Arabidopsis thaliana: one gene and its partners. The protein of the gene in region 1 interacts with the protein of each later gene in a biochemical or structural test. Each region holds a gene or a part of one and is shown in the gene's direction. Other genes may lie near its edges. The genes, in order: HTA2, PRMT11 and HDA6.

Region 1 (10,258 bases):
TGTCTTTAACCAGCTTGTTCTGCAGATTATCTCCACTATTCTCCTCGACGAGTCTCCTTCCATTAGCTCAGTCACTGAAAATTTGGGTTACCATTAAGAAACTCTGTAACCTAATTGTGAAATTCGAAATTGAAATTTACAAACTTTGGGAACAACTTTGCTAAAAAGTAAGAAACTTTGAAATTCGAAGATGAAAGTTATGAACTTTGCTATAAAGTAAGGAACTTTAAAATTCAAAGACGAAGTTTGGGAAATTTACCGGCGTGTTTGGTTAGATGATGAGCTTCTGCAGCTTCGAGTTTGCTAAATTTCTCGCCGCATTTATGGCAAGAAACAGAGGAATTGTCTCCGTTAATGGCGGCTTCTCTATCATTCTCTCTTCTGCTCTGGTGAAACCCTAATCCTTCTCTATCTAAAGAAGAAGCCTTTCTCGAAGTTTGGCTACGGCGTGAAGAAGAGTAATTGACCGGCGTCCCTGGTCTAAGATTCCCGACGAATTCTGTTGCTCCGGCGGCGGTGATCTTGAGCTCGCAGGTGGAGTTGCTAAAGATTACATCGTGAGTAATGGGATTGAGAAACTCGCTGCTTCCTATAGAACGAGGGCTAGAGCAAAGCGGCTTCTCTAAATGCCGTTGGTTTCCATGGATTACGTCTTTAAGATTGGCTATGGATCTTGAACAACCGGACCTGCCGCCGACCCCGCCGCCGGAGGAGGTTGTTGTTCTCTTAGTGGATATGGGAGCTAGCTCTTTTTTGGATCTCGGAATGTGGACATCGGAGACATCAGATTTGCAGGGGAGAGATTTCTTAAGTGAAAACCAAACACTGGGTAGCTTTTTTTTCTTTTGAGTATCGGTGTTTTCTCTCTGTATCGTCTTCTTCTTCTTCTTCTTCTCGCTTCTTGTGCTTGAAGCTTCCATTTTTCTATCCTCTCTAGTCTCTTTTGTCTTCTAAGACAATAAGAACGAAAGAAGCAAAAAAAAAGAAAAAAACGTAACTTAACAAGAAATTTTTTGAAATGAATGGTAGCGAGTTTCTATTTTTTTGAATTGGAGAACCTTCTTCTTCTGGCAATTTTCTAGGGAGAGAGATAGTGAAGAGAATGGGAAAAATAATTATTGAGTCGTCAGAGCTCTGAAGATAAGAAGATACACAAAATTTGAAAATTTAAATGAAAACAAGAAAATACTCCCAAAAGTGTTTTTAGACTCAAAATAATGTTAGTTTTCTTCATCATTGTTAAATTCATATGTATTGGATACATGGGTTGATGGTAATATGAAAGGTCTTGAATATGGACAGCACAACGCAAAGTACAACAAACCAAGTGGAATAAGGTCGGAATCAATGTGGTTTAACGTAAAATGGATGGAACAAATAGTGTGAAATGGATATAAAGAAAATTTGAATGGTGTTCGTATTTACTTCTTATGAATTTTTCTTTCATGTTGTTCGATACGTCAAGACAATAGTTATTGTACTTAGGTAACTTAGCTATCTATGGTACTATTTGATTCACGAGGCCACAGTAGATTTGGTTGTCTTCAGACTAAAAATACAAGTATGTACAATCTCACATTTCCCAAATCTAATGCTTCCAATATGTTTTGCTTTTGCAGTTTGGATTGTATTTAAATCTTCATATACTGTCGGACAACGATACCTCCACAATATGTGTTTGTCCTTCGAACAAGCATTCGAGTCGAGAAACAAAAAAAAAGATTGGAAGTATGACTTGTCAATACCAACAAGTATTTTGTATTAAAAATTCTCATTTCTACAGTAACCTAAAAAGCTGTCTGTTTTCATAAATTTCCAATTACTTTTTCCTTTTCTTTCTAACACGAATAATGATTTTTTTAGGTCATGAAACGAATAATGACTATGTTGTGATTTTCAAGCATTAAAGACATTTCAACATCCTACACACTAAAGAACAATTCAAGTATTGTACATCCACCGATCTTTTGTTAACATCATAACCATCCCACCACGTTCACGTCACTCATTTTTTCAAATGTCTCTCATTGGGTTTACTTTCTTTGTTATCCATCTTCGGAGAAATTAGCTTGACATTAATACTTTTTTGACAAATTGTAACGTTTTCTCCGGAGATGGATAACAACGAAAGTAACGTTGTCTAAATTAATATTACAACTTTTGAGTTCTTACTAACTGAGAAGATTTGTGGCTTTTCAGCCACCACAATATGTCATACAACTTGCAACTGTTATTATCCAAATTTAAACCCACATAAAGAATACGTCTAAAAAGCAAACAATAATCATTACAACACTTAGTAAGTTATAACTTCTCCCTAACTTCTTTGAAATTTTGATAAAAAGGAAAATACATATGTACAAGAAGTGAAGAAACAATTTATTTGGGCCGAACAGTGTTAAATTTTGGGCCAGATAACGTTAAAATAAAAAGGAGTATTTCTATTTAACAAGCCCAATATAGCCCATATAACAATCCATTGAAATCATCGGAGAACCAAAAAAAGGACAAAGCAGGTGGGCGCACGAATCTCAAATCACGTCCCTTAAACTTGTAACAATCTGACGGTGTAGATTATCGATCCATGCAGTGTCATATCATTGGTCAGAAATATTTTCTATCTCGCCACTATATTAATCATCATGGCGGGTTTCGCTGATACTCATTATTGTTATTTTTGACAGAGAGAAATTTCTCAGTTACGCTTCATCCTCCTCTAAGAGATCTTTTTTCTATCTTGGGTAGTAGAGAGAAATGGCGGGTCGGGGAAAACAACTTGGATCTGGTGCAGCGAAGAAGTCTACTTCTCGTAGTAGCAAGGCTGGGCTTCAATTCCCTGTTGGTCGTATCGCTCGATTTTTGAAAGCCGGTAAGTACGCCGAGCGTGTTGGTGCCGGAGCTCCGGTCTATCTCGCCGCCGTTCTTGAATACCTCGCCGCTGAGGTAATCAGTCTCTTCTATTTATCACCTGTTTAATTTACTCTTTTTACCGAATTAAATGGTTATAGCTTGCATCTAGGGTTCTGGATTTTAGATTTTCTTACCCCTTTCGTTAAATTATGCGAAATTTGGAATATTTTAGAATGCATTAGTTCCTTAGTTTGTTTTTTTCTTGGGAAAAATTGTCCATTTTTTTTGTGTAGTTTTGAGCTCAATTTGTGTTTCTTTGTGCTCATCATGCTTATCGAAATTAGGGTTAAATTTGTTCCTTACTACTTTGAGTTATCATAGTTGGCACTGATTGATACTGTCAATTGTGTTCTCAAATTCGAAAAATGTTGTTGTTCACTTAGTTTTGTCTTTGGATATGTGAACATGTCTGCTTGGGAACTGAATTTGGTGCGCTCACTTTCTATAGGTACTTGAGCTTGCTGGGAACGCAGCGAGAGACAACAAGAAGACCCGTATAGTTCCACGACACATTCAGCTTGCTGTGAGGAATGATGAGGAGCTAAGCAAGTTGCTTGGAGATGTGACAATTGCTAATGGAGGAGTGATGCCTAACATCCACAATCTCCTTCTCCCCAAGAAGGCTGGTTCATCTAAGCCTACTGAAGAAGATTAGGTTCATTACGAAGATAGGGAAAGCTGGAAACTGGTTGATATCAGATAATGCTTAGGATTGTTTTTTTTTTCATTTGCTTTTCCTCTGCAGCAATGGAAGCTGTGTGGTTGTACTAGTTGTTAAGGTTACCTTTGTTTCACTTTATGTGAATATATGAAGAAATTGTTCTATTTCAGTCTTGACTCCACTTCTTTAGCATTGTTCACTGATTCATTTGTTGTTCCTGAAAGTCAATTTAAATTCCTTCGATAAGCTACACGAAACTGCACACATAGTCACATGTAACTTGTTTTTAAACTTTTTGTTTTGTTTTGTTTTTGGTTGAAAACTCGAGAAAAAAAGAATCAGTAGACCCATAATCACAGAAAAGTCAAGCCACCAAGCGATTCGACATAGACAGTGGAGAAGTGACGAGATTGAGAGAATCGAGGCGAGAGAGAGAGAGAGACAGGGACGATTCGGTTTAGAGCTCTCGTATGAGGTATATTTCAATTTCGTTTTCGGCGATATCTTGTGTCGCAAATGTCAATAAAACGAAATTTAGTAGATTGTTGATGAAAGTCATTGGCTATAGACTCTGTTATCCTAAAGAAGATTAGTCCATAGACTCTGTTACCCCTCCAGGTTTTAACCAAGACCCCCCCTACCTTGATCTCTGAATGCCAGTTTGATGCGTCATGGCATGGAAATGATCTACTTAGCAGTCATGGATCTCGTAATAGCCTTTTCTCGCATGTAAACTTATTGGTTCCTGAATGGCTATGAAATAATCTTTGGCATGTGTTCGAGAGCCCATAGAGTCATGTTCAGATCGAACGCAAGAGCGTTGAATAGAGCATTGGAGAGACTAAAGAATGTGCAGACCAAGGTGAATGAAGCTCTTAAGAGATCAGGGATCCAAGAGAAATCTTTGGAGCGAAAGCTGAGGATATGGCTAAGAAAGGTCGAAGAGAATGTGCCTCTTGGTGAGCTGATTTTGGAGAAACGCTCTTCATGTGCTATATGGCTGAGCGACAAAGATGTGGAAATTCTTGAGAAAGTCAAAAGGCTGGAGGAGCAAGGCCAAGATCTCATAAAAAAGATTTCAGTCAACAAGTCATCTAGAGAAATAGTTGAACGGGTCTTGGGGCCTTCATTTCATCCTCAAAAAACAGCACTGGAGATGTTGGATAAGCTAAAGGATTGTTTGAAGAAGAAGAATGTTCAAAAGATTGGTGTTTGGGGTATGGGCGGTGTTGGGAAGACAACACTTGTCAGGACGCTTAACAATGATCTCTTGAAATATGCTGCTACTCAACAGTTTGCTTTGGTAATTTGGGTGACAGTGTCGAAAGATTTTGACTTAAAAAGGGTCCAGATGGACATAGCCAAGAGACTGGGCAAGCGATTTACAAGGGAGCAAATGAATCAGCTAGGCTTAACTATTTGTGAGAGGCTAATAGATTTGAAAAATTTCCTCCTTATTCTTGACGATGTTTGGCACCCCATTGATTTGGACCAATTGGGTATTCCATTAGCATTGGAACGATCGAAGGATTCAAAGGTTGTTCTAACTTCAAGAAGACTAGAAGTGTGCCAACAGATGATGACTAATGAAAACATCAAAGTTGCATGCTTACAAGAGAAAGAAGCTTGGGAATTGTTTTGCCACAACGTTGGAGAAGTAGCAAACTCTGATAATGTTAAGCCCATTGCAAAGGATGTATCCCATGAATGTTGTGGATTGCCTTTGGCTATCATCACAATCGGGCGGACCCTGCGCGGAAAACCTCAAGTCGAGGTATGGAAACACACCTTGAATTTGCTAAAGAGATCAGCACCTTCTATCGATACTGAAGAAAAGATCTTTGGTACTTTAAAACTCAGCTACGACTTTCTTCAAGACAATATGAAAAGTTGCTTCCTTTTCTGTGCTTTATTTCCGGAGGACTACTCTATCAAAGTAAGTGAACTAATAATGTACTGGGTCGCGGAAGGATTGTTGGATGGACAACATCATTACGAGGACATGATGAATGAGGGAGTTACTTTGGTTGAGAGATTGAAGGACTCTTGCCTGTTAGAAGATGGTGATAGTTGTGATACAGTTAAAATGCACGATGTTGTGCGTGACTTTGCTATATGGTTCATGTCTTCTCAGGGTGAAGGATTTCATTCTCTTGTCATGGCCGGGAGAGGTCTAATAGAGTTTCCACAAGATAAGTTTGTTTCTTCAGTCCAGAGAGTTTCTTTGATGGCTAATAAGCTAGAAAGACTACCTAATAATGTGATAGAGGGTGTGGAAACATTAGTTTTACTACTACAAGGGAATTCCCATGTTAAGGAAGTTCCTAATGGGTTCTTACAAGCATTCCCAAACCTTAGAATCTTGGATCTCAGTGGTGTTCGTATAAGAACATTGCCAGACTCCTTTTCAAATCTTCATAGTTTGCGGTCTCTTGTGTTAAGAAACTGTAAAAAATTGAGGAACCTGCCTTCGCTAGAATCCCTTGTTAAACTCCAATTTCTTGATCTACATGAATCTGCCATTAGGGAACTTCCGAGAGGTCTTGAAGCGTTGAGCAGCTTAAGATACATTTGCGTTTCCAACACATATCAACTCCAGAGCATTCCGGCTGGAACTATTCTCCAGTTATCAAGTTTGGAGGTTCTAGACATGGCGGGGAGTGCTTATAGTTGGGGCATCAAGGGAGAAGAAAGAGAAGGACAAGCAACACTTGACGAGGTTACATGCCTCCCTCATTTGCAGTTTCTTGCCATTAAGCTCCTCGATGTCTTGTCCTTTTCCTATGAATTTGATTCTTTGACCAAAAGGCTAACAAAGTTCCAGTTTCTATTTTCACCTATTCGATCGGTTTCACCTCCTGGCACCGGTGAAGGTTGCCTAGCAATCAGTGATGTCAATGTCTCAAATGCATCTATTGGGTGGCTACTGCAACATGTGACATCACTAGACTTGAACTATTGTGAGGGTCTTAATGGTATGTTCGAGAACTTGGTAACGAAGAGCAAAAGTAGCTTTGTTGCCATGAAAGCACTGTCCATTCACTATTTTCCCAGCTTAAGCCTTGCGAGTGGTTGTGAGTCCCAACTGGATCTCTTTCCAAATCTCGAGGAACTTTCTTTGGACAATGTCAATCTGGAAAGCATCGGAGAACTTAATGGTTTCCTCGGGATGAGACTTCAGAAACTAAAACTACTTCAAGTCTCTGGCTGCCGACAGCTTAAACGTCTTTTCTCAGACCAAATCTTAGCAGGTACTCTGCCAAACCTACAAGAGATAAAGGTTGTCTCATGTTTGAGGTTGGAGGAGCTCTTCAATTTTTCTTCAGTGCCAGTTGATTTTTGTGCTGAGTCTTTGCTACCTAAGCTAACTGTCATAAAACTCAAATATCTTCCACAATTAAGGAGCTTATGCAACGACAGAGTGGTGCTCGAATCCCTGGAACACTTAGAAGTCGAATCTTGTGAAAGTTTAAAGAACTTACCCTTTGTCCCCGGCAATACTGGTATGATCAACGAACAAATGGCGTGGGAATACATGTCTAGGACTCTAGGGTAAAAGATGATCCAGAATGGGACCTCCAAATTTTCTTCCAAAAAAAAAAAGAATGGGACCTCCAACCTTGCGACATTAAAAGTGAGAATTAGTTACATTTTTTTTTTACCTATGAAACAAATGGTTTAACCTGTTTATTTATATTACTTACCCAATTTGGATTCTCTTTATGGAAGGTTGTTTGGGATGGCTTTGGTTTCTTATGAACAGAACTGACATGTGGTGTTTTCCAGGGACAAATACACAATGAAGTGGCAACTGCAGACAAGAATGTGATTTGAAAAGTTTTTTTCTTCTTCTTTCCAAAAACTGGCCTTATATACTACCTCGGTGTGATCAGATTCTTCAACCACTAAACACACAAAATCTGTTGATTCTTCTGCGTGCTTCAAGTGCAACTGTGAAAGGTCAGCTGACATGAAGTACTTCAATTTTTTATACATCCTGTTTGGCTTTGTATTCTGGTTGCAGACATACTCCCGTTCGTTTTTGTTTTTTTGTTTTTTTTTGTTTCTGTTTTTGTGTTCTTATGGAATTATTGTAAATTTTCTTACATCCTATAACATTGCTTTGCTCCTAAATGAGAAAACAGCCACTGAATCTGGTAATAAGGAATATATCTTAGAGAAAGTAAAAGTTTCCTATTTTTAAAAACTGATTTTCTTCGGGATGAGTATCCAGTCATCCATTAGCCAATTAGGTCATCCAAGACGCTTGCTTAGCTCCTTGTCGTTTCTCACTGCAGGCTGAATAGGTCTTAGGTACAAACACATTTTTGCTTGCTTTTTGCTCCTTCTCATACTCCAAATGGAATTTGTATAATGAATTGTTGTTATATCTACACATTAGCAAAGACCTCAAAAATTCAGGCATACTTTATTTACACTATCTAGCTTCTCTAATTCAATTCTTTTAGACATCTTTGAGATCATCCAGTCCAGATTAGAAACAGAGAAATGAGAATGACACCTTTGTGTGTGGAAGACATAATATAGATGGCAAAATCTCGGGATATGTTCATACATGTCATTATAATACATGCCTTTGGCCATCTAAGGTGCGGCAAGGTTGCGAAAATCGCTTCCTGTGGCCGATATATTTTTTGGAGTGAATAATCAAGAAATTTCATAAACAATTATTAGATAGTCAAGAACTTGTTGCCAAGAGTATGCCCAAAATTCATGACACGGTGATCAACATGGAAATTTTCAACGTTCACCCTTGAGTAAAGAAAGAGTTTACATGTTGTCAGGGTAAACTTTAACTTACTCAAATAATCATTTTCCCTTTTTTCACCATTATTTTTTCATACAAGTGGAAAACAGTGTGATCAATATGTACGAAAGAGTTTGATAAAAAAGAAGACTTAACCATAAATAAATAAATAAAATTCCAGTGGAACTTAAAATACCAATGCACAAGGTCCAACCATCAAAGTGGAGCCTTTCTTTTTTACTTGTTTTTAGTTTACTAAATCAAACCTTCAAAAGTCGTGGTTGCATGATGTATAACAATGGAGTCCTATATTAGTGATCCTTTCATCCATTTCCGCTAGCAAAAGTGGAGTTGTAGTTCAATGGATATTCTCCTCACGCCATGGAATCTTAATGGTAAGTACAGTTCTATACTGGTTACATTTGTTTTAAGTCTCTTTAATTTTCGAAATACAAAAATTGTTTTTTTTTACATTTTCTGAATATAATTTTCAATGGAATATGAAAAACAATGTTTTTTCAACATATGTTACGGACAATACGGTACGGTATTTCGCGATTGTGTCAAACTTTATAAAAACAGAATTTTGTGTATTAAAATGAAGGGAATGAATTTTAGATAATGTATTATTCAAAATACCACAAAGTGATTTACTATGATATTTTACCTCCGCCTTTGATGGCGGTTCTAGTTGAAGGCAAAATCAATACTCTGTTTTCATTGATAAAGCTTAAAAGGTTACAAGACATGATAAACTTGTTTATATATAATGTCTGAGACTTGCTAAAACCCTAGGAAGACAAGACAGGTGGCAGACATCAAGCTGGGATCTCTGAATCAAGGGTCAAAAACCGATTCTCCAACTTGATGTTGAATGCCTTTTCCGTACAAGCATTAGGTGAAGTTGTGCCAGCTCTGTTCTTGTCGTAACTTGGTGAAACTTCTGGAGTTTCTGTCTTTATCGCAGAAGACCGTTGCTTCCAAACTTGAGTTGTGGGCTTCTTGGGCCTGCATTGGGCTTTCATTTGCTTCTTTGCTGAGTTTGATGAAACGACAAAGTTTTGTCGAGGCTTCACTTGAATGGTGTTGATAGTCCCCCTCAAACTTGGTGTGGGCGAAAGAGTAACACCGAGTTTGCCTCGCAAATGTATGAACGCTTCATAAGGAAGTGACTTCGTGAAGATATCTGCAATTTGCTCAGAGCCAGGAATATGTTTCACCACCAAAGCTTTCAGAGCCACTCGTTCCCTGACAAAATGAAAATCAATGTCAAAGTGCTTTGTTCTGGCATGGAATGCCGGATTAGCAGTGAGATAAACGGCAGACAAATTGTCACAGAACAGCTCCGGTGTGTCGGGAAGAGGTATTCTAAGCTCGCGGAGAAGTGTGCTTAGCCAAAGAATTTCTGATGCGGCATCACTCAAGGATTTGTATTCTGCTTCAGTTGAGCTGCGTGATACAGTCGGATGCTTCTTTGAGGACCATGAGACAAGATTTGTGCCCATGAATGTACATAGACCACCAACTGATCTTCGCGTTTGCTTACAGTTTCCCCAATCGCTGTCACTGTAAGCCTGCAAGAGAGTAGGAGAGTCACGACTGTAGGAGATTCCCATTGTAATGGTGCCTTTAATGTATCTGAGAATCCGCTTGAGAAGATGAAAGTCTGATATAGTTGGCTGGTGCATCTTTTGGCACACAAAGTTGACTGCGAACTGTATATCAGGTCTTGTCAATGTGAGATACTGGAGCTTTCCTGCAATACTCCTGAAGTAAGTCGGATCACTGAAGAGTTCTTCTTGATGTGGCACTCTGTCAAGTTGAACAGGAAGAGGAGTTGGCAGAGGAGTGCAGTGTTCCATAGACGCTGCAATCAGGAGGTCCTCAGCATATTTCTGCTGAGACATGAACAAGCCATT
Region 2 (11,002 bases), 850 kb from region 1:
GTTCTTCCATAGGTTCTTTGCGTAGTCTACTTCCTTCCAGAAGGTTTCATAGCGTCCGGGAATGCTGTAATAAGGAGTGGAAGAGTGTTAGATACTTAACACTATGGGCAAAATCAAGATTGCAAAATGTGAATCACCAAAACTCTTCAATTCATGGCAAAACAAAAGGTGGTGATAGAACTCGCATATGTATAAACTTTTCAAGATTAAGGAACAGGACATGCTCTAAAGCCGTCATCAAGAAAAAGGCAATATACTGAGACCTCTTTTGTACCCGAAAATATGGACCGTAAAAGATTAAGAGTCAGGTTATTGTATAATCTAAGACTTAGTAGACTGGAATGATCGTTGCAAATGGGCTTATTAGAGATTAATAATCGAACAAACTTAAGATTGACTACTTTAATACACAATCCTGCAACTTATGAAAACAGATTAAACAAGACAAACAGCTCAACAAAAAGATAGCATCACGAGGTCATAGAAATAAGAGGATAGAATAAAGGATTCATAGTATGCCATTTTCAGTTCCATGAACAGCCAAGTTTTGTATGAGCTCAGCATTCCCTGGCTATCTTATACCTCAAAGAAGATGCTTTATTGACAAAAGTCTCTTTCTAACCAGAATCTAGATAAGGTAACTATGACCAGGGAAATGTTCATATAGAAGGAAAAGAGAGATATCGACCTAGCAAGACGGGTGTAGAGCAACTGCTTAGACAACTCTTGGCACTTCTCAACAGTGGCAGGTTCCTGGATATACTGCTTGTTCTTCTCCAACAGCTGTCTGTAGTAGGAAGTTCCATGCTTAGCCACAAACTTTGAAGCCTCACATGCCTTTGATTGAACTTGTATCAACTTCGATGCCATCTTCACAACCAAATCCTTCAAATACAAAAAGAGATTCTTTGAATCATAAAATTTAAATTAATCAAATTTTGACATTGAAAATTTTGTAAATTTCCCTACTACAGCAAACAAGAGACGTTTCAGTGAATTCACACAAATCAAGCTTAAAGACTTAAAAAGCCTAAAACCCCAAATCCTATATTCCATAACGATAGATCGAACAAACTACAGTGTGAATCAATCAAGCAAATCAAAATTACAAATCAGTCACTCCTAGAACGAACAAATCGTTATCGAAGCAAGAAGAGATCACAGATATAGATCTAAAAGTCAAACCACAAAGCATAGCATATACAAGAGAAGCAGGAGCAAAAGCCTCGACCCAATTGAGAAACATCGGTCAGAGACCAGAAACTCGCCGTACCTTCCTGCAGTTTTGATAATGCAGCACCGGTGAGCTGAGAGATGAGTCGATTCGAGATTTCGGGCCACTGGTTCAACAACAACTGCGTAATACTTCTCTTCTTTATGTTAGAACGACGGCGTAATATGCGTTTCGATTGGAACGATGTCGTTTCTTTCACACTCTTAGAACGACGTCGTATATATTCGTTTTCCTCGAGTTCTATAAAAACGACAGCGTTTTGGATATTTGGCTTTATTATTAGGCCTTGCCGGAAAAACAAAAAACTAGCTCATCGTCGTCATGTCGTCTCTGTCTCCTCCACCGATTCCAATGGAACTCCACGCCGGTAACCGGAAAAAGTTACTAGAATCAATACGCCGTCAGTTATCTAGTTCCAATCGTTCTCTCGATGGATTTGTTCTTCTACAGGTACCCTTGATTAGCTCTTATATACATAATTTCCAACACGTATCGATGATCCGATTCCGAGCTCGCTTTCATTGTGTTTAGTTTGTAATTTTCTTGATTCTGGACGATAGGGTGGCGAGGAGAAAAATCGATACTGTACTGATCACACCGAGCTCTTCAGGTATTGATTTGAAATTTTATCTCGAGGTTTCTTCTCTTTCAATCTGTTCAATGTATTGAGTGGAAATAAGATGATATTGAACTGACTTGTAGGCAAGAGAGTTATTTTGCTTACTTGTTTGGAGTCAGAGAGCCAGATTTCTATGGAGCTATTGTGAGTTTTGCTAGCTATATCTCCATTTCTTAAGAACATATGACCCGTTCACCATTTTCATTCTATATATGTTGATTGTTGCTTAACCAATGACATTGAGTCACTTTCGATATTGGAAGGACATTGGAAGTGGGAAATCTATCCTTTTTATTCCAAGGTTGCCTGATGATTATGCTGTTTGGTTGGGAGAGATTAAGCCATTGTCGCATTTTAAGGTAAATATTTGAACTTTTTTAAGTCTTGTTAATTTGTTCAGTGAGTTTATAGTGATTGCAGTTTGTGCTTCTTGTTGCAGGAAACATATATGGTTGACATGGTTTTCTATGTGGATGAGATTATTCAAGTCTTTAATGAACAATTTAAGGGATCTGGAAAGCCCCTGTTGTATCTCTTGCATGGTCTTAATACTGACAGCAGTAACTTCTCAAAACCTGCCAGCTTTGAGGTTTTGACATTTCATCCTTTCTTCTTCACTTTCTCTGGAGATTTGGTCTTATGTTTGTCTTGTCTTGATGCTGAAGATGAATTATCTTACCGCATGTCTTGTGATCTAGAATTTCAGGATTCTGATGCTCGTACTGTTTTCCTGATATTTGGAATCTCATTTGTAATTATTTCTTTTTACTGTTGTCCTGTCTTATTTCAGGGGATAGACAAGTTTGAGACTGATTTGACTACTTTACATCCTATTTTGGCGGAATGTCGAGTTATTAAATCAAGTTTGGAGCTTCAACTAATACAGTTTGCAAATGATATAAGTTCTGAAGCTCATATAGAGGTGTGAATTTGATTTCCTAACATGTTTTCTCTCGAATTGTTGTTTGTCTTTTTAAATGGTATGCTTAGACCAATGAATGAAATAAATTGATGAAACGATTTTCTTATCTGTTGGCTTGTTCACAATCTGTCGTTTTTGTATCATCTTACGACTTAGGTTTCTGACCTCAATTCTTCTTATCCACTCCATGTAGACAGTTTTTTTCTTCTCTTTTTGCAATTCTCTTACATCTTTCCAACTTTAACCATGTGTTTTTTAATCCACATTAAGGTTATGAGGAAAGTCACACCGGGCATGAAAGAATATCAGATGGAAAGTATGTTTTTGCATCACAGCTACATGTACGGTGGCTGTAGGCATTGCTCGTACACATGCATTTGTGCAACAGGGGATAATAGGTAAGTTTGGTGGATAAATCTTGTTATTGCTGAATATGCAGAAATATTCCTTTTCAGGTGTTTGTACTGAAAAACTAACAAAACGATGTTAAATTGTTTGTAGTGCTGTTCTTCATTATGGGCATGCTGCGGCTCCAAATGATAGGGTAAAGGGAACACACATTCCTCGCTTTTTTAGTTCTCTCATTATTCCCTGTTTGAAAATGTTTTAATACTTGTTGCAGACTTTTGAAGATGGAGATTTGGCATTGCTTGATATGGGTGCTGAATACCATTTTTATGGGTCTGACATAACATGCTCATTCCCCGTGAGTTCTTCTAGCATCAAATCTATTCTTAATTTTCCTCTGAATTGTCTTTGCACCGCATTGACTTGTGTTTTTAATCTTGTTTACATGAACATCATAATTTGCTGAATGTAGTTATCTAGAGAAAGTGGTCTCTAATATTTATCAATTGGTGTGCAGGTCAATGGTAAATTTACAAGTGACCAGAGTCTAATCTACAATGTAAGTGCCTTACAAGATTGGTGCAACGTGGATGTATTAGAAATGTGTGCTCTATTTTTTGTCTTCGCACAATCCAGAGTTTGGTGAGTCTCTTGAAGCTTTACATCTGAATAAGTTTCTCTGATTTTGCCTTCCTTTCAGGCTGTTCTGGATGCACATAATTCTGTAATCTCTGCGATGAAGCCAGGAGTAAACTGGGTGGATATGCACAAGTAAGTCTTACTGAGATGCTATATAGCTCTGTTCTACTATGCATGCAGATGCAGTAATTGGGATTGACAATGTAAGCGTAAACTCAGTTGCTTTGGTCCATTTTGATTTATCCTCTTGTTAGGGAGATAAATTGAAATACATCTCCATATGGTTATTCAGCTTTCTTTGTCGACTGAAGCAAATTAATGTACAGGTTAGCTGAAAAAATCATCCTTGAGTCACTGAAGAAGGGGTCCATACTCACTGGGTAATTCTCTCTGTGTTAGACATTTCAATACTCTTCTCTAAAGGTTAATTCATTCTCATGGTTTCGTTCTCTGTTCCTAGTGATGTAGATGACATGATGGTACAGCGCTTGGGTGCTGTTTTCATGCCTCATGGACTAGGTCACTTCATGGGCATCGACACTCACGATACTGGTGGCTACCCAAAGGTACATCAAATCTTTTTTCAACCCAATAGTATCATCACGTAAATAAAACCACAGTCCCTGTGTCTTACCCGTTGCTTTGATCTTTCATTCTTTTAGGGAGTGGAGAGACCAAAGAAACCTGGATTGAAGTCATTACGAACTGCAAGAGACCTACTTGAAGGAATGGTAAGGGCCGATTGTTTCAAGTAGAAATGCTTTTGGTTCTTCTCATTTATCGTCTCTGTTCATTGTCCTAATCGTATTTATGTCAGGTAATAACGGTGGAACCAGGATGCTATTTCATCAAGGCATTGCTGTTCCCAGCCATGGCAAACGCAACAACCTCTAAGTTCTTCAACCGTGAAACAATAGAGAGATTCAGAAATTTCGGAGGTGTCAGAATCGAAAGCGATTTGGTAATGTCAAATTCATATTCACTACAACGTCTACAAGTTAAAACACTCTCAAGAGTAATGTCATATACAATAATCTCATTTTGTTGTATATGTGTGATTTCTTTTTTAGGTCGTTACTGCTAATGGCTGCAAGAACATGACGAATGTTCCACGAGAGACATGGGAGATCGAAGCTGTGATGGCTGGAGGGCCTTGGCCACCGACCAAGTGATCGTAGCTACTCTTAGGCAGCTTATGGAAATTAAAAACTTGATAAGTAAAACTCAATAATACAACCTTTATTTTTGTTAATGGGAATAAGGAAAAATTGCCTGTGTTTTACTAATCTTGTACATGTAGTTTATTTTGTTTCAGTGTCTTGTTTGTGTGGTTGGATATTAAACCGATTGAATGTTCAAGTGGACAGATAAAATCTAACCGGTTTGGTGCTTGTCGACGAAAACCGAACCGGTACAGAAAATATCTTGAGCACAATTTTAGTTCTAATATAAAATTCATTAACAAGAGAGAAAAAAAAAACTTCAAATTAAAAGCTTCGTGTCTTCATAAAACCCTAATCTCGCGACTTCGTCTCTATCCCCAAAAACCCTTTCCTCTCTTCCTTCTTGTGTGAGACCGAGAAAAAAAGATGACTAAGAACAGTAACCACGACGAGAATGAGTTCATCAGCTTTGAACCAAATCAGAACACGAAGATACGCTTTGAAGATGCTGATGAAGACGAAGTTGCTGAAGGGTCTGGTGTTGCCGGCGAGGAAACTCCCCAAGATGAGTCCATGTTCGACGCCGGAGAGAGCGCCGACACCGCTGAAGTAACTGATGATACCACCAGTGCCGATTACTACTTCGATTCTTACTCTCACTTTGGTAAATTCCCTTTTTTCAAGTTCTATTTTTTTCCTTGTGCTCTTTGGTTATGAATTCTTACTAAGAGTTGAATTTGGTTCCACTTTTTTTTGCAGGAATCCATGAAGTAAGTATCGAGGACAAAGCTCAGTTTTTTTTGTTATAGTTTTTGTTCTAGAAGTTTAATGTAATTCATTGTGTTTTCTTCTGTATATATCTGATGACTGAATTGAGAATGGTATCTGACAGGAGATGTTGAAGGATGTTGTGAGAACAAAGACTTATCAGAATGTTATTTATCAGAACAAGTTTCTTATCAAGGACAAAATTGTTCTTGATGTTGGAGCTGGAACCGGAATTTTGTCTCTGTTCTGTGCCAAGGCAGGAGCTGCTCATGTCTACGCTGTATGTCTTCAATCTTTCAGTCTCTTTTTTAATAATCATAAGTAAGAAGAATCTTTTTCAATTTTGACTGATTTGATTGAGGATGTTTCTTAATAGGTTGAGTGTTCTCAAATGGCTGACATGGCAAAGGAGATTGTTAAAGCTAATGGATTTTCTGATGGTAGGTCTTTTATCCATGTTGAGTTGTATTCAAATCGATAACTTCTGTTCTGTAACATGATTTTTGTTTTATCGATGCAGTTATTACGGTATTGAAAGGGAAGATTGAGGAGATAGAGCTTCCCACTCCTAAAGTGGATGTGATTATATCGGAATGGATGGGTTACTTTTTGTTGTTTGAAAATATGTTGGACAGTGTCTTGTATGCTCGTGATAAATGGCTTGTAAGTTACAGCTCCACCTTGTTACATGAGATTCTTAGTTACCAAAACCAATTAAATGAAATCTTCTTGGTCCTGTGTTTTTATGGATAGGTTGAAGGTGGAGTTGTGCTACCAGACAAAGCCTCTCTGCATCTTACAGCCATAGAGGATTCAGAGTACAAAGAAGACAAAATCGAATGTGAGTGCATTGATTTGACACGTTTTCTCGTCTTTTTTTTTCCAACATTGATCTTGATGTCTGTTGAGATTTGCATTTTTAATTTCTTTTTTGTTGTTCTGCTACAGTTTGGAACAGTGTGTATGGTTTTGACATGTCATGTATTAAGAAAAAAGCTATGATGGAACCACTTGTTGACACAGTCGACCAAAACCAAATCGTCACCGATAGTAGGCTTCTAAAGGTATATAAGATATCATATGATGATGATTAGTAGTATCTCTTTACCTGTGTGACTAATGTTCATTTCATTATTCTTATGGGTTTGTAACAGACGATGGATATCTCAAAGATGTCCTCTGGTGATGCTTCCTTCACAGCTCCCTTTAAGCTTGTTGCACAACGCAATGACTACATCCACGCCCTTGTAGCCTACTTTGATGTATCGTTTACCATGTGCCACAAGCTGCTGGGCTTCTCAACAGGTTCAGATCTCTACAATCTTGTGCTAGCTCTGAGTATTCTATTTTTTTTTGGTGCAAAGAAATGGCATGTTATCGAATAACTTGGTTTGAAGTTTAAACATAGCACATTGTTTCATTATGATCTGAAACTTGCACTGAACAACCATATGTGTCACATGCAGGACCGAAATCCCGAGCTACACACTGGAAACAAACAGTTCTGTATCTAGAAGATGTGTTAACCATATGTGAGGGTGAGACAATCACTGGAACTATGTCCGTTTCTCCTAACAAGAAGAATCCTCGAGACATTGACATAAAGCTAAGCTATTCTTTGAATGGCCAGCATTGCAAGATCTCAAGGACCCAACACTACAAAATGCGTTAAAGTTCTCTCATAAGAAGCAGAACTTCAGAAGATACAATTCTCATATTGTGATTTAGTTTTTATATTTCTTTTTCTCCAGATTACAACTTTCCATTTGCTTCACATTGCAACATTTGCTTCATCTCAAGTTAAATTAATGATTTTGCTCTAAACCATCTCGTGTATGTTCCTTGTTGATCACAAAACTGATGTCTGTCAACACTTTTCAATATTCTCTCCAAAAGATTATAGAAACTAAAGGAAATCTACAAAAAGCAAGTGTGAAGAAAGAGTACATTAAACAAAACCAGTTTAAAACTGTTTCTATAGCTCAGACTTTCCGGATTTAGGTTTCTTTGAAGAAGACGATCCAAGTCCTTTCCACCATCTCCGGACCCGGTTTGACACTTTCTGTGCATGTCTCTTCAGAGCCTCACCTTTCTTCTTGAACTCCTTAGTGATTGTCTTCTTCAATTCTTCTGTTTTACTCTCTTTCTCTTTCAAAACTTTTCCCTAAAAACCAACAAAACCATACAAGTGTTTTAGAGAAAAGAAAGAAAGATCTCGGTTTCCTTCTTCTTCATGAAAGTTTAACCCAAAGATTTGATCATTTGAAAAAAGAAACTTTATGTACCAAGTTCTTGGGAAACTTATCATCTTCTTCCTCATCTTCATCATCGTCGCCATCATCATCTTCATTACCGATATTCCCCTTCTCTATATCTTCTCTAGAGTATACCTTCATGCCAGGTGCTCCTGGCATACCCTGAACATAGCGGTAAAGAGTAAGCTTAAGATCATTCCATGGATATGCATTCCTTGCTTAGTGGTATTGATTGACGTCATCAAAGATTACCTGCATAGATCTCAAAATCTTGTCCATTTCAGCATCTTTTGATGGTTTTGCAACAAATGGTTCTCCAGGAACCCGATCCTGGCAAAGATAAAGAAACACTTATCAAAACGTCATCTCCACAGCAACAACATAAGAACATTCACGGACACAAATCACCAAAGATCCACATTTCAGTTTCAATAAAAGGTACCTTGGGAACAGGAGGAGGTTTCTTGCTGCAAGCATCGGTCAAATCTTTGCATAGATGATTCACCAGTGAAACAAGATCAGGCTTAGACTTGTAAATATACTCTGCAACATCAGTGTCTGAGTAACCAATGACCTGCAACACACACCAACAAACAGATGAAAATCACATTTATCCAACTCTAAATACTCAAAGAAATGCAAATCCAATTGTATTAACAGCTGAAAGACCACATTAAGCTAACCTTTTGACAAGCATTCTCGATCGTCTTGCACTTGGAATTACACATCCCTTCTTCTTGTTGCTCAACCAGCTACGAACCCAAAGTCAAAACAAACAAATTGTTAACAGAGTCACCAGCATTGAGATTCAACAACAAATGTACAAGTTTCCACTTATTTCAATCTCAAAGCTACAATGTAATATTTTCGGATCAAACAAGAAGGGAGAGAGGTAGAGAAATCTCAATTACCACAAGATTATCGCCTTTCTCAACAATGTCAATCTTAAGCATCCAATCAGCTTCCTCTTTCTTCAAATTGCAGACATTTTCAGCAATCTCAATGATCTCATACTCCGAGATCTACCATTTATTTCCCACCAGCAAATTCAGTAAGCAGAAACACATCAAATCAAACTAGAAAGATCACTAAAAATACATTAAAAACTCAACCTTTTTGGGAGAGATCTGTTGTTGCTTCTCCTTCACTAGCTGGTGTAACCGAGAAGATAGTTTCTCGCAAACCTGACACTTTATATACGGAACATCCTCCTTTCTCGGCGTCGAAGAAGGTTTCTTCGCGGCATCGGAAACAGGTAATAACGCCGACGAAGCTAGCAGAGCTAATGTAAGAGCTACCAGAACTCGATTCATCACAACCATTGAAGTCAGAAGCAGAGAAGCTTTCTCTATCTCTCTTAAATATGGTAAAGTTTGGGACTTTAATAAAATTCTTTCACGGGTTCTATATAGAAGATCATGGGTTTAAAGAATTCTCTGGGTTTTGATCCTGTGCCGTGTTCATGAAGTGGAATCGATGTTACGCTTGTTAACGTGTTTCCTGCAATCTTATTGGCTGTTGGAATGCTGACACGAACTTGGGTCCACTTTCTCGACCATGTTAGATAATTACTGTTTTGTTTTTTTGTATGTGTGGTAAATTATTCGGATCACAGCACAAAATGGGCCAAGCAGTAAGGCCCATTAATTAATACGACTGGATGGCTCAAATGTAATTAATAGGATGGAGAGTGGTAAACTTGTCATTGGCAAGACGAAAAGTGGCGTCGGACAATTGGATGTTGCCGTCGACCAATTAAGAAAGAGGAGAAGTGATTTGCAGCTCCGGCGAGAAGCAGAGCTCCGGCGTTGTGTTTATATCTCAGAAAATGGCAAAAATCGTGATATTATTTGATTTCGATCGGACTTTGATCGACGGAGATAGTGACAATTGGGTTGTCACTGAAATGGGACTCACAGAGATCTTCCATCAGCTCCGTTTCACTTTACCATGGAATCGTCTTATGGTATTTCATTTATTAAAGCATCCAAAATCTCATCCTCTTCTTATGATTTACGCATATTGAAATCAAAATTTGAATTGGATTTTGAAAAGGATAGGATGATGATGGAGCTACAATCACAAGGTAGATCGATTGATGACATTAAATCTTGTTTGAAGAAAATGCCTATTGATTCTCATATTATTGAAGCTATCAAATCAGCTAAATCTTCAGGGTATGAACAATGATCAGTTCACTTAGATGGTCTCAGTTTCTTTTTTTGGTTGAGTCTTGAGTGTTGTTTGTTTGGTTCAAATTTGCAGATGTGATTTAAAGATTGTGAGTGATGCAAATCAGTTTTTCATTGAGAAGATACTAGAGCACCATGATTTGGTGGATTGCTTTTCTGAGATTTACACAAATCCAACCTCTCTTGATGATAATGGGAACTTGCGGATCTTGCCTTATCATAGTGATGCATTGCCTCCACATAGCTGCAATCTTTGCCCTTCAAATCTATGCAAGGTACTCTTATCTATCTTTTTTAACTATATAAGAAGCCCTCCATGTTTGCCTTGTAGTTAGACTTGCAATTTGTTTATGATCTTGTCCATTAGAATTTGGGATTAGTTCCGAGTCCAAAAGCTGAAATCTTCAATTCTAGCGTTGTACAAATAGAGATTGCTATATCCATTACCCTTAGATTGGATTCAGTTTTGTAGGATTTTGACTAGTGAAACTTCATTGGTTCTTTCAGGGTTTAGTAATGGATCATTTACGTGCTTCTTCTTCCAATGATCAAATTCCAAGAAGGTTTATCTACCTTGGAGATGGAGGAGGTGACTTCTGCCCGACATTGAAGCTGAGAGAGTGTGATTTTGTGATGCCGAGAACGAATTATCCGCTATGGAAGAAGATCTCAGACAATCCCTTACTGATCAAAGCAGAAGTCAAGGAATGGAGTAGTGCAGAGGAACAACAGAGAATCCTGCTGCAACTTGTCAGCACAATAACAAAAGAAGAAGATTCATAACACAATAACACTAGGCTTTGTTTAGAGTCGATAATAAGTGTTACTGATTAATGCAAAGGTGATGAAAGAACATTTGTTT
Region 3 (11,632 bases), on another chromosome or scaffold:
AGAAATCTTCTTTCTTAAAAGTCGCTCATCATTATAGACGTTTGGTCATCAAAGAAAACTAGTCATAAAATTTTAATCAAATATTGAATGCTGAATCTGATTTGTACCTTCCTCTTGGCAGTCTCTTCCATGTTAATGTTATTGTTAATTACCATCAATTTTACTGATTGCTCTGAACATGATTTTGTTTTTTTATTATTTTTTTTGCTGCAAGAACATTATTATGTTTGAAATTATAAATATGTCAAGTATGACCTTATGGCCATGTAATGTTAATGATTCGATTTTATAAATACTGTGCATTATGGGTCAAGTCAAATGTATACTTTTTCACTAGTTAGAAAATAACATACAGTATATGGTATTATTCCAGAAAATATGTATTATGACTAGGATTGGTGTAGTCACATGACTCATGAGATGGTATGTCTGAAAAATCCCATCGCAACTTTAAGATTTTCCAAATTTGATTCGACACTGTTGGCAAAATGTTTAAAGCAATAGACTCCCCCATCACAAAACCTCCAATAATTTAAGTTAAACAATTGTTTGGGTCCAATTTGTAGCCCATTAAGTGGTTAGTCATGGCCCATATCTGATTACCAACAAAATAAAGGAAATTAATTAAATTCGCGCAATAAAAAGAACAGAAAAATGGTGGGACAAATTAGGGTTACTAATTTGGGAATTTTACTGTCCAAAACGAATCAAAAAAAAAATCTAAGCTTTTTGTTCCTTTTGCGGCTTTTCGTCGTCTTCCTTGCACTATCTTCCTTCTGTAGCATCAATTCGTTTCCAAGGTTACGTAGTAGAATTTACGCGAGAGAGCGAGAGATCAAAAACCATAACCATCTTAAGTTACAATGAGCTCGTATGATCGTAGATTTGCTGATCCAAATTCGTATCGCCAACGCTCTGGGTAAGTGAAACCAATCGACCAATTTCTTCGTTTTTGTTTCCTTCGATCTGTAACACTTATCTTCTCTGTGTTACTTTAGCGCCCCAGTTGGTTCGTCTCAGCCGATGGATCCTTCCGCCGCACCATACAACCCACGGTACACTGGTGGTGGTGGAGGATATGGACCATCTCCGGTAATGGCCGGTGATAATTCCGGCTATAATCGGTACCCATCTTTCCAGCCACCTAGTGGCGGTTTCTCTGTTGGCCGCGGTGGTGGAAGAGGTGGATATGGTCAATACGGCGATAGAAACGGCGGAGGGAATTGGGGAGGAGGAGGAGGACGTGGCGGATCGAGTAAAAGAGAGCTAGATAGTGTTTCTCTTCCGAAGCAGAATTTTGGGAATCTTGTACATTTTGAGAAGAATTTCTATGTGGAGAGTCCCACTGTGCAAGCTATGACAGAGCAGGATGTTGCAATGTACAGAACCGAGAGGGATATATCCGTTGAAGGTCGTGATGTTCCTAAGCCGATGAAGATGTTCCAAGATGCTAACTTTCCAGGTATTTTGATTGGATTGGTCATAGAGTTTCCAGTTCATTTATATCTAATTTGGGTTCTTAGTTTAATGGTTCCTTTTATCTGTTAGATAACATTCTTGAAGCAATTGCTAAATTGGGATTTACTGAGCCAACACCTATACAAGCTCAGGGATGGCCGATGGCGTTGAAGGGTAGGGATTTGATTGGTATTGCTGAGACTGGCTCTGGTAAGACATTGGCTTACTTGTTACCAGCATTGGTTCACGTTAGTGCACAACCTCGATTAGGTGAGTATTACAGCACTATGTGATATTCTGATTTAAGCTGCATTCATTTTTCCGGCAACTTTTTTATTTGCATTGTTGGGGTGTAATATAGGTCAGGATGATGGCCCCATTGTGTTAATATTAGCTCCCACAAGAGAACTAGCTGTTCAGATTCAAGAGGAATCAAGGAAATTCGGGTTGAGGTCTGGTGTTAGAAGTACTTGTATCTATGGTGGTGCTCCTAAAGGACCTCAGATTCGTGATCTTAGAAGAGGTATTTTATTTTTTAATAGTGTAGTTTTCATGTCTGGTTCTTGGATGGAACATCAAAGTTTATGAATCATGATTGGCTTGTCAGGTGTTGAGATTGTAATTGCTACACCTGGTCGTTTGATTGATATGTTGGAATGTCAACACACTAATTTGAAGAGAGTGACTTACCTTGTACTGGATGAGGCTGACAGAATGTTAGACATGGGATTTGAACCCCAAATTAGAAAGATTGTATCTCAGGTATGTTTGTACTTTCTCCAAAGCTATCATGTAGTGTCTTTAAGGAAAGGGTGGTTGACCAACATTATTAGTCGATAGATTTTATCTTCCCAGTTTATTGTTCTGTTGCTAAATAAGAACCATCACGGCTTTTGTTCAGAACTTGAGATTGTTCCTTATTTTTCACAGATCCGACCTGATAGACAAACACTTCTTTGGAGTGCAACATGGCCACGAGAGGTTGAAACTCTTGCCAGGCAGTTTCTACGAGATCCATATAAGGTTTACTTGCTATTTAGTTTAACTTATTAGGATTGAGTATACTGTTGTTGAATAAAGTAGGGGATGTTTTATGTTGTGCACTGAAAACAGTTGTTATTTTGTAGGCCATTATTGGATCAACAGATCTAAAAGCTAACCAGTCTATTAACCAAGTAATCGAGATTGTACCGACGCCAGAGAAATACAACAGGTTCTTAATTTTTCTGTCATTAGATAAGAAACGATTTATATATATATTTATTTGCCTTCTTATATGATATGATACTTATGCCTTTTTTCTCGTTTGATAGGCTCCTTACACTACTTAAACAGTTAATGGATGGGAGTAAAATCCTAATTTTTGTGGAGACAAAGAGAGGGTGTGATCAAGTGACTAGACAATTGAGAATGGACGGATGGCCAGCTCTTGCCATACATGGTGACAAGACCCAATCGGAAAGAGACCGAGTCTTGGCAGAATTTAAGAGTGGACGAAGCCCGATAATGACTGCCACTGATGTAGCAGCAAGGGGACTTGGTAGGATTAACTGTGATACACAATAGGAGAGATTATACTTAGAGCATTTCGTTTTCTTGGGGTTTTAAAGATAATAAAAAAAGTCGCCTGGCTGCCGCTTTCCACAGTTTCCTCTGGTATTAGGGAAAAAAGCACATAGAAAGAAAAAAGGAGCTTCTTTGAAGAATTTGTTTCCTGCATCCATCTCCCGGGCATGGAGCTGATTGGTTTTTGAGCAGCCTGGGCGACTGACACCTGCATGCATTAATAGTGTTATAACGCCGTCCCAAACACTCCTTATCCCTGCAAGTTAAGGTGGGCACATTTACTTGGGAAAAATGTGTTGCTCTTAGTTTCTTGATCTTTCCAGATCTGCAGTTGTAGGGATAAGGGGTTCTTGTTCTCTATCCTCTCCTTAGCTAGGCTTTAAACACCAAACTCATTTACACAAAGAAATTTCTGTTCTTCTTCCTGCATTTCATCTCAGTCTATGATTTACTTCTCAACTGTGTTCCTTCTTTCTTCTTTTGTTTTGTTTTACAGATGTGAAGGACATTAAATGTGTGGTTAATTATGATTTCCCAAATACATTGGAGGATTACATCCATAGGATTGGTCGAACCGGGCGTGCAGGAGCTAAAGGAATGGCCTTTACATTCTTCACACATGACAATGCTAAGTTTGCGAGAGAGCTTGTCAAGATCCTTCAAGAAGCTGGTCAAGTTGTACCTCCTACTCTCTCCGCACTAGTCCGATCATCTGGTTCTGGTTATGGAGGTGAAACCTCATTTCTCTTCTCTCATTTGATGAGTTCAATCAATCTTGCTAAATTTTGGTACGAGGATCTGATTCAATTTTGTTGATTTGTTCAGGTTCAGGTGGTGGAAGAAACTTCAGGCCAAGAGGAGGAGGACGTGGTGGTGGGTTTGGAGATAAACGGTCAAGATCGACTTCAAACTTTGTACCTCACGGTGGAAAGAGGACTTGGTAAAGAGAATCCCATCATTTTGATTCTATGAGAAAACCTTTAATTATGATGATGATGATCAGCGTTTGGTTTCGACTAGAAGTTCTTTGTCGTAGAGAACAAACATTTACTATATAACTATTTAGCTGATTTCGCTGCTTCTTCTTCTTCTTCTTCATGATATTTCTAAACATTTTGCCTTTTTCTTAATTCTATCAACTAAATACACTTTACTACTTTACTCTCAAGTCAACCGTAACACTGTAATGAAACTTGTTTTTAAAAATCGGATGTGGATTATTAGGTTGGGAGATTCAAGTATTGCGAATAGAATTTAGACAAATGTAAGCATCTATAACATCTAGAACATGTATATCTTCTCTTTTTTCCCAACAACATCTAGTTACGAATCCTTAAGGTGAAATGTGTAAATAGATCATACTTAGCTAAAAAACCCTTTACATTTATTTGTCTAACATTGTCTACCATTAGGAAAACAAGTTAAAAATAATTCGCTATGTTTGAATCGAATTTGGAATTATATAATCGATCGTTAGTTTAACATTCAGTAATTATTAAAATTAAATTTTTAACGCAAAGATAATAATGTAAGTAATCATTAATGTGCGTGTATATATAAGCTGTGCCCACAACTCCTAGTAATGACTTTCTCAGGCATTGTTGACACAAATTTTGCTCTGAGTAAAACTTGGGAATAGAGAGAGACTCTGAGTGAGAGAGAGATTCTGAGTGAGAGACGGAGATGGAGGCAGACGAAAGCGGCATCTCTCTGCCGTCGGGACCCGACGGACGTAAGCGGCGAGTCAGTTACTTCTACGAGCCGACGATCGGAGACTACTACTACGGTCAAGGCCACCCGATGAAGCCTCACCGGATCCGTATGGCTCATAGCCTAATCATTCACTATCACCTCCACCGTCGCTTAGAAATCAGTCGCCCTAGCCTCGCTGACGCCTCCGATATCGGCCGATTCCATTCGCCGGAGTATGTTGACTTCCTCGCTTCCGTTTCGCCGGAATCTATGGGCGATCCTTCCGCTGCACGAAACCTAAGGCGATTCAATGTCGGTGAGGATTGTCCTGTCTTCGACGGACTTTTTGATTTTTGCCGTGCTTCCGCCGGAGGTTCTATTGGTGCTGCCGTCAAATTAAACAGACAGGACGCTGATATCGCTATCAATTGGGGCGGTGGGCTTCACCATGCTAAGAAAAGCGAGGCTTCTGGGTTTTGCTATGTAAACGACATCGTGCTAGGGATTCTGGAGTTGCTCAAGATGTTTAAGGTAAATGCTCCATTCCTTCTTTATGATCTCATCATAGAGAACTTCTTCATGTTCTTCTGAAATTTTTAGGGTTTAAGCTTATCTTGAGTGGTTTTTCTTAAATCTACCTGAAACCTTGAAGCCTTGTGTGATTATCGAATGAGCTTTGATCCTTTCATGTTCCTAAACTGCATATTACCTTTAGAATCTCATGTTAGGTCAAGTGCATCAGGTGTTTCTGATAAGGATGTTGATTTGTTTGAGAATGGTTTTCTACATTGCCTCTTTGTTTTCATCGTCTGGTTCTTTAAGTTTCTCTAATTAGGATTCCGTTGCTTTGTTAATGTATTCTGATAGCATCATTCAAAATGTTGATTGAGTGTGGAACGATGTTTCCATTGCTTACATCTTAATGCTTTCATCAAATTTTGTTTGCAGCGGGTTCTCTACATAGATATTGATGTCCACCATGGAGATGGAGTGGAAGAAGCGTTTTACACCACTGATAGAGTTATGACTGTTTCTTTCCACAAATTTGGGGACTTTTTCCCAGGAACTGGTCACATAAGAGATGTTGGCGCTGAAAAAGGGAAATACTATGCTCTAAATGTTCCACTAAACGATGGTATGGACGATGAAAGTTTCCGCAGCTTGTTTAGACCTCTTATCCAGAAGGTTATGGAAGTGTATCAGCCAGAGGCAGTTGTTCTTCAGTGTGGTGCTGACTCCTTAAGTGGTGATCGGTTGGGTTGCTTCAACTTATCAGTCAAGGGTCACGCTGATTGCCTTCGGTTCTTAAGATCTTACAACGTTCCTCTCATGGTGTTGGGTGGTGGAGGGTATACTATTCGAAATGTTGCCCGTTGCTGGTGTTATGAGGTCTTTTCCATCTCCTTTGCAGTTCTTCTATGTTTTTTGATAATCATATAGGTTTTTGTTCTTGAAAGTGTTTGTTTCTGTTGCCTCATCGCAGACTGCAGTTGCTGTTGGAGTAGAGCCGGACAACAAACTCCCTTACAATGAGTATTTTGAGTATTTCGGCCCAGATTATACGCTTCATGTCGACCCAAGTCCTATGGAGAATTTAAACACGCCCAAAGATATGGAGAGGATAAGGTAATATCTCCTACTTTCCATTTTTATGGTCATTGTACTTCAGTTGCCACTGAACTTCTAGCTAGTCCACTCTAATTTAGTAATTTTAACATGCTAATGATGCTCCCTCGAGATTGTAATTCTGTATGTAACATATGAGTTTATCTTTGTGCCGGTTCCAAATAGTTAACGAAAGCTTTACATGTTCAGTAGCTTACCTTCTTAGCCTTGTCAATGGGATATATTGAACTTAGAGAAAGTTACTTTTTGAAATTTCAGGAACACGTTGCTGGAACAACTTTCGGGACTAATACACGCACCTAGCGTCCAGTTTCAGCACACACCACCAGTCAATCGAGTTTTGGACGAGGTAATTTTTCAGTCATCCATTTCTCTCTTTGATGTTTTTAGTTGCGTTCTGTCCTATTGACTACCAACTTATTAAATCTGCTATCTCAAATCCTTAGCCGGAAGATGACATGGAGACAAGACCAAAACCTCGCATCTGGAGTGGAACTGCGACTTATGAATCAGACAGTGACGATGATGATAAACCTCTTCATGGTTACTCATGTCGTGGTGGCGCAACTACGGACAGGTAATTAAAAACCTTCCTCCTACTCAAATCTACCAACACTTGAATTGATCCTCATTGTCTAACTTCTTAACAGGAGATAAATAATTTAATTGATGTCTCTTAAAATCTACAGGGACTCTACCGGTGAAGATGAAATGGATGACGATAACCCAGAGCCAGACGTGAATCCTCCATCGTCTTAAACCAGCTTGATGGTTTGGTGTCTCTTTTGCCATATGATAATGTCGGCAGATTTAAGAAACAAGTTAGGGGAATGAATGATTCTTTGATGTTTTTTCAGCAACCTTTTGAGTTCTGTGAAAACGCTGCATTGATTAGAACAGTGACAACTGACTAGTATTTTGGCCCAAGTTAGAAAATCAGAATATGTGAAAAATGCAAAGAAACTTTTTAAAAAAAATATGGGCTTTTACTTCTTCTTTTTTTTTTACTTTCTCCGAAGTTGTTGTTACCAAACCGAAGAAAACCGATTGCAATAGACCCTAAAATTAAACCATTGAAGCTGTTACTAAACCGAACGGATTTAAACAAACCACTGAAGTCTCATCATCACCCAAATTCATCGAAATTTTCCCGGTAACTAAGAACAGGCATGGCCAGGGAGCTTGTGTCTCTTCAATACCTCCGACCTCCACTTCACATTTCTCGTCAATTTCTAAACCTCTCTTCTCCTCCTTTAACTCTCAATCTCCGGCCAAAACCTCCGCAAAATCCAATCTTTATCCGAACCGACTCTCACCGCAACAAAACTTCCGCCGACGATAACGGAATCCCAGCAGAGGACGTCAAAACCATCGCCAAATTCAAATCCCGTCACAATTACATCAGAGTCATCGAAGTTTCACGAAAAACCAATCACCCACTCGCTGGTTCTCGTCTCCTCCTTCTCGATAATCCCGGTAACATCCATAGCATCTCTTTCCTTCTTAAAACCTTAACCGATAGTTACTTCGACGTTTTCGCTACTCTGCCTCCGATTATACCTCCCGGACCAATTGGTATTCTCGGATTCGGAGCTGGTTCAACAGCTAGATTGATTCTTGAGCTTTATCCTCCTGAGATCGCTGTCCATGGATGGGAACTTGACCCTTCCGTGATTGACGTTGGTAGAGAGTTCTTTGGTCTCTCTAAGCTCGAAAGAGATCATAAAGATAGGATTTTTATCAACATTGGTGATGCTTTGAACGCTAGTGTTAAAACCGGGTTTTCGGGTATTTTAGTGGATTTGTTTAGTAAAGGGAGTGTGATCAAAGAGCTTCAAGATCCTCAAGTGTGGGAGGATTTGAAATCTAGGTTGAGATATAGAGGGAGGATTATGGTGAATGTTGGAGGTAAATGTGTGGAAGCTGAGGATTCAGATAGAGATGGAGCTTTGGTTATGGAGGAAACGTTGAGAGTGATGAGTCAGGTTTTTGGAGATAAGCTATTTGTTCTAACGCTTGGGAATGGGAATGATAGCTCGGTAGCTTTAACGGGTGATTTACCGGATCTTGATGCGTGGAAGAAGAGATTACCGCGTAGTGAATTGAGAAGCTATGTTGATATGTGGATACCTTATAGAGAATTCTGCTTGAGATATTAGTCTTTAGATGATATTGGTTGATAATCAGTTTTTGTGATGGATGCTGCAATGTGTTTGGAATTCAAGCTATGATGAAACCTGATTAGCTAATACACAAAACTTGTTCTGTCTCAGAGAGTGTTTGTTACAAGTGTACAAATTATTGCTTGGTCATCGTGTCTTTATTGGTGATGAATATTAAGGTTGTCTAGTTCTTTCAGAGGGATTGAGAATTTGAGATTACTCATTACTGTTATGTATGATTTGTTCTGGTATTATTAAACCTAAATTCGACAATGATCTTTGTCTCGCTCTGTTTAATCCAAATCGAAAATTGTGTCTCTCATCTTCTTTGGTGTTCTGGCAGTTCATACTCTGAAGGAGAAGATATAGACAGTGGTTAGGTTATAAGCCATTGAACCTTTATCACAAGGCAAAAGCATTACAGTCCACATTCTTTCTTTGACATCATCATTTTGCTCTCTTGATTGTTTCCAACGCATTAGGTAAAAAAAATAAGAATTGTTTGTGTTTACACTTAACAGATGATTTTTATTTATGAAGATGATTAATGATTCATTTGCATTTTTTTTAGTTCATTTATCATCTCAAACTATAGACAGCTAAGCGCAAGTTCTTGATCTGTACCTGGTAATCAATATATTACATCTGTAAGATATAGACTATATAGTCCCTAGCCCTAAATTACCATTAAACATGCTAATAAAAGTTGAATAATTGTAGAGATATTAAATCAAACGCATGCTTATTTCTTAACGTAGGCTTTTCGCCCATAGGATACAAATTACAGTAGTTGGGTATATAGTATCACTAGAGCATATAAACACCACAGGTTTATTTTCTAATTGTCTTTTTCACTTTTTAAAATTGTAGAGTAGTTAGAGAATATAGACTAAAGTGTGAAGTCATGAAAGATTGAAAGTTATAAAAAAAATCTCTATATCATTCCAATGCCTATCACTCTTATAATACTTGATAGGGCAACTATTCGGAATCTCATCATTTAACTTAGAAGTTAGAACCCATAGCTATTTCGTCTTTAAATTTCTTTTTTTTTTTAAACTGTTATCGTAAATTGAAATTACAAAAGTTAAAAAAAAAAAAAAAAAACCATGTTGAACATTAGAGAGCGCGAAACCAGTGCCACCATGTTGGAGTGTCGATAAACTGTGAAATAAATTGGATATGCCATTGATATATTTTAGCATAAATACAACATTTTCATGATCGTATTCATATAATAGTAAACGAAATTTATAATTACTGTAAGGGTTGTTGACTTTATTTGACTCAACACGTGGTTACGCAGCAATAAGCAATCCCGAGGGAGAATAAAATCTCTATCCATTTCTATTAAATTTGTTTATTTTTATTGTATGAGGAATACACTAAACTTCCGTATTAGGAGTTTTCAGTTTAAATTCTACCTCTCCTAATTTTTCCTTTGCTATATGTGTTTCATATTCATGATTGTTGTCTATTTTGTTATTCGATTCTACATATATAAAAACAAACAAGAAAACAAAAGGACATATTCACAAAACTATTCCTCCAAGTTGCATCATTGACCTCCCATATATACCTCTAACTTTACCCTTCCATAATCAGCACATGCACATTCATTAATTCAACATTATCTCTTATGTGTGTGTTGTTTCAAATGAGACCATATATATAAAATGTGGTTTCTATAGATTCTTAGAGTCACACTGACTTAATTAAATTACAAGAAGAAAAATAAAATTCGAGGGACAAACTAGGTACTAGTCTAGTTTTAGTAGATCATATGTGTGAGGAGGACCCATATTCCCTCTCTCTCTCTTTCTCTCTGCAAACCCTTTATAACACTTCATACCCCCACCTCTCTATTTGTATCATTTTATATGCAACCTCTCTATATATATTGAAGGGCTATATATATAGATCAATACCCATTCTAATCGATTACTTTAATCTTTTGATGGTAAACTTTGTTATGGTTTCTTCTGTAATATGTAGGCTTAGTGTTGAATTTACAACGTCGGACGGAACGAATAAACCATATCATAGCTCTCCAAACAACTTTCAACTTATTCGATATAGTTACTTATTATCTATCATATCAGAATGCGCAATCAATAACATTGAAAACTTTGAATAATCAGTCAATTTTTGTATCATAACGAGAGAGAAGCTCTACTTTCCAAGTACGAGACTAGTTTCCTCTTTTAGAAAAGAATAGGACCTCTATTTTCGAACCCTAATCCCGATATATATTAGTCACAAAATTAATATCTTAAGAAAAATATGAAGACATTAGTTTGGTGATAAAGCCTATAGATGCTTCACTTTAGTAAATTACTAAGTTCCCACCACTAACCACCATCATAACTTAGACCAACAAATAATGATCTTGAAAATATTCAAAAGGTTAATTTACCACAATTTTCTGATAGTAATAAGAAAATTATCTCATTTACTTTTCCATTAGGTAACTATTTATGATCTACATTTGCATTTGAATTTTGCCAGTCTAATATATCTTCAATATTGAACCATTTGAATTCTACATTAGACCAAGAATTGGTGCGAAATAAAAAGAAGAAGACATTATGAAAAATGTCTCAATCGGTTGTCACTTCCAATAATATATAATCTAACACAAGTAACTGTTGTATGATACTAACCCTAGCTAGCTATAGCTTCAAAAATCTTCGGACCCCCTCATAGTTTATTTTCCATTACAAAAGTTCTGATTTTACAAAACCTATTTAAACTTGACTTGATCGTTCACATGAAATCGCTTGACTTTTACTGATTTCCTGTCTCTACGTAGCTACTTTGAGGTCTCAAGAGTTTATTCTTGTTCCTATTAACTGTTGTTCGATTAAATTAAATTGAAGAATTATTTTGCCACACCTGAAAAAAAGGTTCAATTCATTGCTGTTAATTTTAGGATGTCAAGCTTTTTTCACAACGGTATGAACAAGAGAACAAGTTACCAGTCACCAAATTTATACCGCTATATATTAATTGTATAGTTTGTTCTGCCAAAAACAGTCATATAATATGTTCTTTAGTTCTCATTGCAAATCAGGGTTTGTTATGATATTCAATTAAAGTCGAGATTGATATAGAGAGATGCTTAGGGT

The links.
Region 2: of the proteins of HTA2 (region 1) and PRMT11, one has a biochemical effect on the other in vitro, tested with the Arabidopsis thaliana proteins (one study listed by BioGRID).
Region 3: of the proteins of HTA2 (region 1) and HDA6, one has a biochemical effect on the other in vitro, tested with the Arabidopsis thaliana proteins (one study listed by BioGRID).

The regions. Positions count from the first base shown.
Region 1 is NC_003075.7:13,630,822-13,641,079, reverse strand, and holds HTA2 (histone H2A 2), read left to right. Parts: upstream 1-2,644; 5' UTR 2,645-2,754; coding exon 2,755-2,943; intron 2,944-3,358; coding exon 3,359-3,565; 3' UTR 3,566-3,844; downstream 3,845-10,258. Other genes in the region: AT4G27240 (zinc finger (C2H2 type) family protein), read right to left, coding at 1-74, 260-920; AT4G27220 (NB-ARC domain-containing disease resistance protein), read left to right, coding at 4,344-7,127. UniProt on the Arabidopsis thaliana protein: Core component of nucleosome. Nucleosomes wrap and compact DNA into chromatin, limiting DNA accessibility to the cellular machineries which require DNA as a template.
Region 2 is NC_003075.7:14,486,388-14,497,389, forward strand, and holds PRMT11 (arginine methyltransferase 11), read left to right. Parts: upstream 1-5,234; 5' UTR 5,235-5,351; coding exon 5,352-5,589; intron 5,590-5,684; coding exon 5,685-5,695; intron 5,696-5,817; coding exon 5,818-5,973; intron 5,974-6,069; coding exon 6,070-6,133; intron 6,134-6,213; coding exon 6,214-6,356; intron 6,357-6,446; coding exon 6,447-6,534; intron 6,535-6,641; coding exon 6,642-6,757; intron 6,758-6,847; coding exon 6,848-6,998; intron 6,999-7,159; coding exon 7,160-7,365; 3' UTR 7,366-7,614; downstream 7,615-11,002. Other genes in the region: AT4G29480 (Mitochondrial ATP synthase subunit G protein), read right to left, coding at 1-64, 689-870; AT4G29490 (Metallopeptidase M24 family protein), read left to right, coding at 1,556-1,684, 1,795-1,844, 1,937-1,997, 2,117-2,212, 2,293-2,442, 2,644-2,775, 3,046-3,173, 3,277-3,319 and 8 more; AT4G29520 (nucleophosmin), read right to left, coding at 7,669-7,857, 7,979-8,110, 8,201-8,278, 8,391-8,522, 8,632-8,700, 8,860-8,970, 9,061-9,270; AT4G29530 (Pyridoxal phosphate phosphatase-related protein), read left to right, coding at 9,777-9,914, 10,004-10,125, 10,214-10,415, 10,648-10,923. UniProt on the Arabidopsis thaliana protein: Methylates (mono and asymmetric dimethylation) the guanidino nitrogens of arginyl residues present in a glycine and arginine-rich domain. Type I arginine methyltransferase active on both histones and non-histone proteins.
Region 3 is NC_003076.8:25,311,303-25,322,934, reverse strand, and holds HDA6 (histone deacetylase 6), read left to right. Parts: upstream 1-4,587; 5' UTR 4,588-4,707; coding exon 4,708-5,247; intron 5,248-5,664; coding exon 5,665-6,105; intron 6,106-6,199; coding exon 6,200-6,342; intron 6,343-6,600; coding exon 6,601-6,691; intron 6,692-6,788; coding exon 6,789-6,919; intron 6,920-7,031; coding exon 7,032-7,101; 3' UTR 7,102-7,429; downstream 7,430-11,632. Other genes in the region: AT5G63120 (P-loop containing nucleoside triphosphate hydrolases superfamily protein), read left to right, coding at 864-919, 999-1,462, 1,549-1,728, 1,820-1,981, 2,066-2,220, 2,389-2,481, 2,586-2,671, 2,772-2,998 and 2 more; AT5G63100 (S-adenosyl-L-methionine-dependent methyltransferases superfamily protein), read left to right, coding at 7,512-8,501. UniProt on the Arabidopsis thaliana protein: Responsible for the deacetylation of lysine residues on the N-terminal part of the core histones (H2A, H2B, H3 and H4). Might remove acetyl residues only from specific targets, such as rDNA repeats or complex transgenes.